2 linked regions of the Canis lupus familiaris genome follow. The protein of the gene in region 1 binds, or shares a complex with, the protein of each later gene. Links are inferred from orthologs where the notes say so. Each region holds a gene or a part of one and is shown on either strand. Other genes may lie near its edges.

Region 1 (4,504 bases):
CCTCAGAGCAGGCCAAGTTGCCAGGGGCCCCCCCGAGGCCCCCTCCACCCTCACGCAGGAAAGGGACGGTGCCCGGTTTGTGCAGAAGCCACTGAAGCCTGAGGCTGCTGGAGAACGGAGCGAAGCAGTGGGCGCGGGTGGAAGGTGCCTCGGGTGGAGGGGGCCTCCGCTGCAGCGCAGCTCCAGCCAGCTTTCACGTGGCTTTGTTTTCTTCAGGCAAATACCCAGAAGGGGCACCTGGGTGGCTCAGTCAGTGAAGCACCTGCCTCTGGCTCAGGTCATGATGTTAGGGTCCTGGGATGGAGGCCAGCAGCAGCTCCCTGCTCCCTGGAGAGCCCGCTCCTCCCCCTCCCTCTGCTGCTCACCCTGCTCTCACTCTCTGTCAAATAAAATCCTCAAAAAAACAAAAACAAAAACAAAAAAAATAGGATTACTAGACTGTATGGTGCACTACCTTCCACAGTGGCTGCACCAATTTTCACCCCCACCAACACCGCATAAGCATTCCCTTTGCTCCACATCCTCACCAATACTTGTCATGTTGAGTTTTGCCATTCTGACAGGTGAGAGGTGGGAACACACTGTGGTTTTGATTTGCATTTCCCTGACGGTGAGTGAGAAGCATCTCTCCATGTGTCTGCTGGCCATCTAGGTGTCTTGTTTGGAGGAACGTCTGTACAGATCCTCACTCATTTTTTTTAAATATTTATATTAGAGAGAGCAAGCGAGCACAGGGGTTGGGTGTTGGGCAGAGAGAATGTCAAGGAGAGTTCACAAAGAATGCAGGCCTGAGCTGGGGCTCAATCCTGTGACCTAGATCATGACCTGAGCCAAAACCGAGAGTTTGGCACTTGACTGAACCACCCAGGCACCCCCTTGACCCATTTTTAATTAGATTATTTGTTTGGGGTTTTTTGTTTTGTTTTGTTTTTTAGTGTTAAGCTCTTCATATATTTCAGACGTTAACCCCTCATCAGGTATGTCATTTGCAAATACCTCTCCCATTCCATAGGTTGCCCTCTCAACCTTTGTTGATGATGGTTTCCTTTGCTATAAAACATGATTTTTATCACATAAGCACTATGTACCCTTTATAGGAAAACCAGAAGACAGAAATAAGAAAATAAAAGGCCCTAGCTTGCCCGCCTTCCAGAAACACAAAGGCTCTGACATCTATGTATGAGCTCCTGCTCCTCTGTATGCACAATACACATTTAAGAAAAATAATAATAGGGGATCCCTGGGTGGCTCAGCGGTTTAGCACCTGCCTTTGGCCCAGGGCGTGGTCCTGGAGTCCCAGGATCGAGTCCCACATCGGGCTCCTGGCATGGAGCCTGCTTCTCCCTCCTCCTGTGTCTCTGCCTCTATCTCTCTATCATAAATAAATAAATAAATCTAAAATAATAATAATAATAATAATAAGCTACTAGTAATGGTAGGCAGAATAATGATCAAAGATGATTACATCCAAATCCCTACTTTACATGGCAAAAGGGTCTTTCCAGAGGTAGCTAAGTTAAGGGTTTTGAGATGGAGGGATCATTTGGATTACTTGGGTATGCCCAAAGCAGCCACGAGGGTCCTTATAGAATGGAGGCAAAAAGGTGAAAATCCGAGAGCTGTGAGCATGGAGGCAGATGTCCTTGTGGCGTGGCTAAGCTGGAAAAGGCCAAGAAGCAGATGATGACCTGGAAAACCTGGAGGGAATCAGGCCTTTGGATGCTTTGACTTGTCCCTCTAGCACCCACGTCCCACTTCTGATCTAGAGAACTGTAAGAGAAGAAATCCTGTGACGGCAGCAGGAGGACACTGATGCAGCAGGAGCCGCTGTATTTTCCACCAAAGAAGAGAAATGTATACAATGTATACACAAATATACAGGCACACTAATCCACATGTAACAGTCTAACCTTTTTTTTTTTTTTTTTTTTTTTTTTGACATTCTGTGTGTCTGAGAAAGAGAGCAGGAGCAGGGATCCCCGGGCAGGACTCCGGGATGGGGATGGGATGGTGCCCTGAGCCGTAGGCCTCCACCCCCGCGCCCCGGGCGCCCCAGCAGGCCTAACTTTAACGACCACACCGTGCATCCACGTCGCTCAACCATTTCTGCAGGCTGGCACCTGGATTTTCAGGCCGGAGGCTTCTCAGCAGGCCCCCGGGACACCGTCCTAGAGGGGCCGCCCGGGCTCCTCGGTGCCGTCCCACTTGCGCTCCCGTCCTCCGCACCGACTCGCCCCCAGCTCTCGGCAGGGCTCCCGCGGGACCGGACGGGGCCGGGATGCTGGGGGGGGGGAGGGGCGGCCACGCCCAAGGCCCAGCATCCCGCGCGGCGACCCGGGAGGGTCCTCCCTGGGGGTGGGGGGTCCTTGGGGAGTAGGCGGCGAGTTACCCAACTTGGGGGAAATGTGGGCTGAGCCAGCCCTCGCGCCGCCTGCCGGGCGACCACACACAGGGGTCAGGCCGCACCTCGAGAAGGCAGAGGGGAACCCCCGAGGCGCAGACCACGCATGCGCGCGCCCCGGACCCGGAACTCCCAGCGTGCCCCGGGAGGCAGGCCGGCGGCAGGTGCGCACGCGCAGGGGCGCTCTTGGACGCCCTGACGTCACCGCGGCGCCCCGACAGCCGCGAGGCCCCGCCCACCCCGTCCCCCAGCCCGGCGCGCGCCCCCAGCCCCCGCCGCACCCCGATCCCTCTCCCGGCACTCGTTTCTCCGGCACCCCGCCCCCCGGTGTCGCTCCAAGAGCGCTTCAAGTCTGTCCTGGGCAGCATGGCCACAGCAGTGCCTGGCGCGCGTCCACAGACGACCCGGCCAAGGTCGGCGCCGTTTAGAGCGGACCCCGGGCACGGACCGCGGCAGTGACTGACCTCCAGAAGACGGACCGCGAGGAGCGGCGGGCTACCGGCGGGGGCGGGGCCTGACAGGGCGCGGCCTCGCTGCTGCGTCGGGGCAGGGGGCGGGGCCTGGGCGATGGGCGGGGCTTTGCGTGGGCGGGCGCGGGCTCGCGGGGCGGGGCCTGAGCGGCGGGGGCGGGGCTTTGCGTGGGGCGGGGCCTGAGCGGCGGGGGCGGGGCCTGGGACCCGGGCTGTGCATGAGGAGGGTGCCGGCTGGCGGGGCGGGGCCTGGGGTCGCGGGGGCGGAGTCAAGGGGCGGGGCCTCGCAGGGGGCGGGGCCTCCGTGGCCGGAGTTGGGGTCTCGCTGCTCCCACTTGGCGGCCGGGCGGAGCGGTGGTCCCAGCGCCGCCCTCCCCGCGTCCCGCCCGGGCAGGTGTCCTCGGACGCCCGGCCCAGGCAGTGACATGAAGGTCACCGGGCTGGGGGCTGGGCTGGGAGACGTGGAGCAAGGTGCAGGCCGGACGCTGCACGGCGGTCCGCTGCGGAGCCCCGACTCGGTGGTGCCGGGCTGGACAGACGCAAGGGTGGTTTTGTGAGATTCGTTGGAGCAACGTTTGTCATCTTTGGGCGCTGTTCCATTTATCTAACGGCAGAAACTCTGAATAATCCTGTGTCTTCAAATGCATTCGTGCAATAAACACTTGTCTGAGCCCTTTGTGCGCGGCTGTGCTTCGGTGCTCGAGGTTCAGCACTGGGCCGGGCCGGGGCGGGGGGTGGGGGGGGTGCGCGCCCCCAGGGGAGTCAGCGGCCTGTGAGGAGACGGCGCCAGAGCGCCCCCAGCCCGGGAGCGCCCGTGTCCGCTGCGGCAGGAGGGAGCACCGGGTGCTCAAGGAAAACTGGCTTTTCCTGAGAACTGACTTCTCGAAGCGCTAGAATGTGGCCAATTTTAATAGAAATTGTTTATACTATTCACTTTCCTGTACCCTAGACCTAGTATACTGACCGTGATCAACTTCTAGACTTGATGTCAGCGCCCTTTGGCCTCCTGTGGCCAGCAGCACTGCAGGTGCCTCAAGGAGGAAGGGCGGCAGGTGGGTGCTGCGGAGGGCGGCCGGAGTCACAGGGGCCCGGCAGGCATTACAGGGGCCCGGCAGCAATTTTTTTTTTTAATTTATCTATTCATTTATCAGAGAGAGAGAGAGAGAGGCAGGGACACAGGCAGAGGGAGAAGCAGGCTCCATGCAGGGAGCCCGGCGGGGGACTCGATCCTGGGACTCCAGGATCGCGCCCTGGGCCAAAGGCAGGCACCAAACCACTGAGCCACCCAGGGATTCCCCCAGCAGCAATTGTTTTGCTGAAATGTGGTGCTGCTCGCGTGGTGCTGCTGCCACGTGTTCCCTGGCTCGCTGTCCCCGTTTCCTGCGTCGTTTCGGGTATAGGGGCCATATTGGTCAGAGGTTGCTGGGCCCGTGCCCAGAGTGAATAAACAAGCACAGCACCGGTTGGAAATGTTCTTAGACGAATAAACAGCACGGACCCTGGTACATAAACGTTCGGACCAACGTCGTGGGTGCAGGCGGGAGGGCAGGCCGTGGGCTACCCCAGTGGTCAGAGCTGACATTCTGGGGGATGACGTCTGCAAACGGGACTGCGTGCCAGGGCCAATCACCGG
Region 2 (3,619 bases), on another chromosome or scaffold:
CTCATTTCAGGGATGAGGTAGCTGAGGAACAGGGAGACAAATTCAATTCTGTAACTTGCCCAGCTCTTAAGATGCAAAATCAGAATTTGGACTGAGACAATCTAAATCCAGAGCACGGCGGGTATTTTGATCATCCTGACTCCAGAGTAATTGCAATTGTCACCCAGCAAAAACAAGTCTTTCTAGGAGGTGTGAAATTGCATAAAATTTCTGGCCATGACCGACTCCATCTTGAAGCTCCATTTTCCCTTTTAATGAACTTTTGAATTGGGCCAGGCCCGGTGATTGTTTTACAAGCAGTTTCTTATAAAGTCAACGGGACACCTGGCATCCTGGATCATAAAACTGTCAGTGTGGGCTTTCGGGTGACCGAGTAATTAATCAACGCATATCACGAAGAGTGAGGTTTGATAACACCAACCGGTTAGTCGATCACAGTGTAAATAAGCACGGCTCAATCTGCTAGTGCCAATCACGGTGTTTTCTCCTTCTCCTCTCTTATTCAGGTCAGGTGTTGGCCCCCCCTCGCCCTCTTCCTCCTGGGACCCCTGCTCTTCCTGTGAGGCAGGGCGCTTCTCTGAGTACTCTGGAATCTGTGCTCCAGAAAATGCAATTCTGAGATCCCCCAATAAGGACTTTTGTTCTTTTTCAATTTTGCCTCATTTTCTCGGTCTACAGAGGGAATTCTGCTGCTAAGAAATATGACGTTCTCTATTTTTCCTCCAAAAGGGATTTTTTTGGGGGGACACCTCGGTGGCTCAGCAGCTGAGCATCTGCCTTTGGCTCAGAGCATGATACTGGAGTCCTGGGATCGAGTCCCACGTCGGGCTCCCGGTGCATGGAGCCTGCTTCTCCCTCTGCCTGTGTCTCTGCCTCTCTCTCTCTCTCTCTCTCTTTCTGTGTTTCTCATAAATAAATAAATAAAATCTTAAAAAAAAAAAACAAAAGGGATTTTTTTTTCTTAAGTAGTTTCCACACCCACCATGGGGCTCAGACTTGAGACCCTGAGATTGAGAGTCCCACGCTCTACCGACTGAGCCAGCTAGACATCCGTTGGGGGTTTGGTTTGGCTTTCATCTCTCTCCTCAACTCTGACCTTACAGGAGTGGTTGCTGTGGCCGAGAACTGCCGCACGTTCACCTGCCACCCCAGGAGTGCTCAAGTGGCCAGCACCGGGCGAGCCACAGGTCTTCTCCTCCCCGCCAGGGCACAGCCCCAGGTCTGCACAGGCTTCCAGGTGGGGGTAGCTAAACGCCTCACTCCCTTCTCCCCGGAAGAGGTGCTGTTGGAATGCTAGCCATGCCAGGGCTCCTGGGGAGAAAGAGGACCTCCTTTCTCCCCCGCTGCTCTGGTGGTCACATGTTTATGAGTCCTTTGCTAACCACCAAGCACTATTTGGTGAAAATCGCCCCCTGAGATTACAAGGGCCTTGCTGGGGTTCAGGCATCAGTACCCTAGTGGCTTTCTCCACTGCTCCTTGGAACCAGCAAACAGATGAGGTTCATATAAAGTTCCTGTGGCCAAGCCTCACCCTTCCCAGCAGTCCTGAAAAGAGTGGTGTGGATGGTTCCCTACAACGTCCCCTCCTCACAATGTCCTTGTTTCCCTCTACACTGAAACCAGGACGCTCCTCCCACCCATCTTTTCTTGGAAGCCAAGCCCCTTTGTAATCTGTATAAGATTCCCTCTCCAGGGATCAAGGGATTGCAGAGACTGGCCTTCTGCTCTCTCCTAGAGACCACGCTAGAGACCCAGGTCAGTGGCCAAAGACGTGGTCTCAGGGGCTCTTTCTGCTTCTGCATTGGATTGGAGGGACCAGGGTTGGGGAGGATAGAGCCTGAGAGAGCCTGGGGTAGGCAAATATAGGGTTGAGCACGCAGGCGGCAGGGAACCAAGGGCACTGGGGGAGCCAAGCATCTGTCTTGGGGCTACAGTGGCATCCCTTTGTGATGCCCGTGTCAGGCACGGGGCTGTTTCCCTTGTGGCGAAGGACAACAGGCCTCTGTCAGTCATGATCCTGGACACGTGATTGCATTTCAGGGATGCAATGTAGCTCATGGTTTATTCAAAAGGATTTTCTAATGAGCTGCTTGAGCACTGGGTATAAGTGTATTTATCTTTCAAACATATTTTAAATTTAAAAATCTCTAGTATTCAGACACAGGATTGTGGGATTTTAGTTCACTCTGGAGGTCACCCCCAGAGGGGAGGACCGCCTCTCCTTAGCTAGCGGGAGTTCAACGCCCTGGAGAGTGGTGCGCGTGGCTGTGTCCTTGCCGGGAGAATTGCACAGGAGGAGGTGTCTCTCCAGCTGCCCCAGGGGGAGGCTGAGAGTGGGGCAGCCACAGGCGGGAGCTGGGGTTCTCCCCCTGAGGCGGCGCTTGTCCTTCTCTCCCCTTCCCAGCTAGGCTCTTCCAGAAGGCGAGCCCGCCATGGCTCAGGAGAAGTTCTTGGTGCTGTTGCCACTAGTGGTCCTGGCGCTGCTGGGGCTGGCCTGCGTGCAGCCTTCTCTGGCCAGGGAGTCGAAGGCCATGAAGTTCCAACGGCAGCACATGGACTCGCACCCCGCCGCCATCAGCGCCAGCTACTGCAACCTGATGATGAAGCGCCGCAACATGACGGATGGGTGGTGCAAGCCCGTGAACACCTTCGTGCACGAGCCTCTGGCAGACGTCCAGGCCGTCTGCTCCCAGAAGGATGTGCTCTGCAAGAACGGGCAGTCCAACTGTCACCAGAGCCGCTCCCAGATGAACATCACCGACTGCCGCCTGAAGAACGGCTCCAAGTTCCCCAAGTGCGTGTACACGACCACGCAGAAGGAGCAGTACATCGTCGTGGCCTGTGAGGGGAACCCCCACGTGCCAGTGCACTTTGATGCGTGTCTGTAGCTCTCGGCCTGAGGCCAGAGAAGCGGGCGCCCTGTCGCAGGTGGCACCTGCTACCCCTCCCCTGCCTTCCTGCTCTGGGGAATCCCTGCAGCCGGGGCTCCTCCGGCTTGCTCCCAAACCCGGGCTGCCCTGCCCAGGGCTGCTCCGCTTGGTCGGGGGGCGGGGGCCCCATGTTAGCCACCTCACCGCTTCTTTCAATAAAGCACAGCTGTGCTCACCTGGGTTTCCCACGCTGTCGCCCTCCCGGTACTGCCTGTGTGATCGCTCCTGCAGGAGCTGCAAACCTGGCTGTAGCTTTGGGAGGCATCATCAGCTCATCCGAAGCCTTCTCTTCTGACGCTTGGCTTTGGTCACCCGAGATCATCCCTTGTAAACCGCCAGGCTGCTAAGCGAAGGCTACTGGGGATAAAAGGGGGCTATAGCCTGGGAGTGGGTGCTGGGTGAGCGGCCCGGCAGCCGAATGCAGAGACAAGAACCTCTGCCCGGAAGGAGGGTAGCCTCAGGAAGACCCTGCGCCGCCCCTGGGTGCGGGGAGGGATGTGGGAAACCAAGATCCTAAATTGTCATTTTCCTTTTTTGGGGTGAGCTATTACTAATCAGAAGAATGGCCATGTCTTAGCTGGAAAGTCAAAACCTTCAATTTAGGAGCCAAAGGGGACTGTAGAGATAATTCCGTTGAAGGAGAAAAAGTAGATTTTGGCTTTTGTATCAACTCCATTCGAAAGGGTCCG

The links.
Region 2: the proteins of RNH1 (region 1) and ribonuclease pancreatic precursor are in contact, whole or in part, in a crystal structure (PDB 3TSR), measured with the Mus musculus proteins. The link is inferred for Canis lupus familiaris from reciprocal best matches to the Homo sapiens genes RNH1 and RNASE1. Residues at the interface, in NP_001165571.1 of Mus musculus: Cys7, Asp32, Thr60, Asn89, Asp117, Glu145, Tyr146, Asn174, Glu202, Trp257, Trp259, Glu283, Ser285, Trp314, Lys316, Glu340, Glu397, Ser401, Asn402, Gln426, Val428, Tyr430, Asp431, Ile432, Tyr433, Trp434, Thr435, Asn436, Glu437, Arg443; in NP_035401.2 of Mus musculus: Arg26, Glu27, Lys32, Gln36, Pro48, Thr49, Gln53, Lys56, Arg57, Met60, Asn62, Gly63, Ser64, Cys65, Lys66, Pro67, Val68, Asn92, Lys94, Asn96, Leu111, Lys112, Gly113, Asn114, Ser115, Lys116, Asp121, Ala134, Glu136, Val143.

Annotation. Positions count from the first base shown.
Region 1 is NC_049239.1:25,962,981-25,967,484, forward strand, and holds the start of RNH1 (ribonuclease inhibitor), read right to left. Parts: upstream 2,974-4,504; 5' UTR 2,866-2,973; intron 1-2,865. UniProt on the Homo sapiens protein: Ribonuclease inhibitor which inhibits RNASE1, RNASE2 and angiogenin (ANG). May play a role in redox homeostasis. Required to inhibit the cytotoxic tRNA ribonuclease activity of ANG in the cytoplasm in absence of stress.
Region 2 is NC_049236.1:18,162,910-18,166,528, reverse strand, and holds ribonuclease pancreatic precursor, read left to right. Parts: upstream 1-1,669; 5' UTR 1,670-1,755; intron 1,756-2,404; 5' UTR 2,405-2,432; coding exon 2,433-2,888; 3' UTR 2,889-3,105; downstream 3,106-3,619. UniProt on the Homo sapiens protein: Endonuclease that catalyzes the cleavage of RNA on the 3' side of pyrimidine nucleotides. Acts on single-stranded and double-stranded RNA.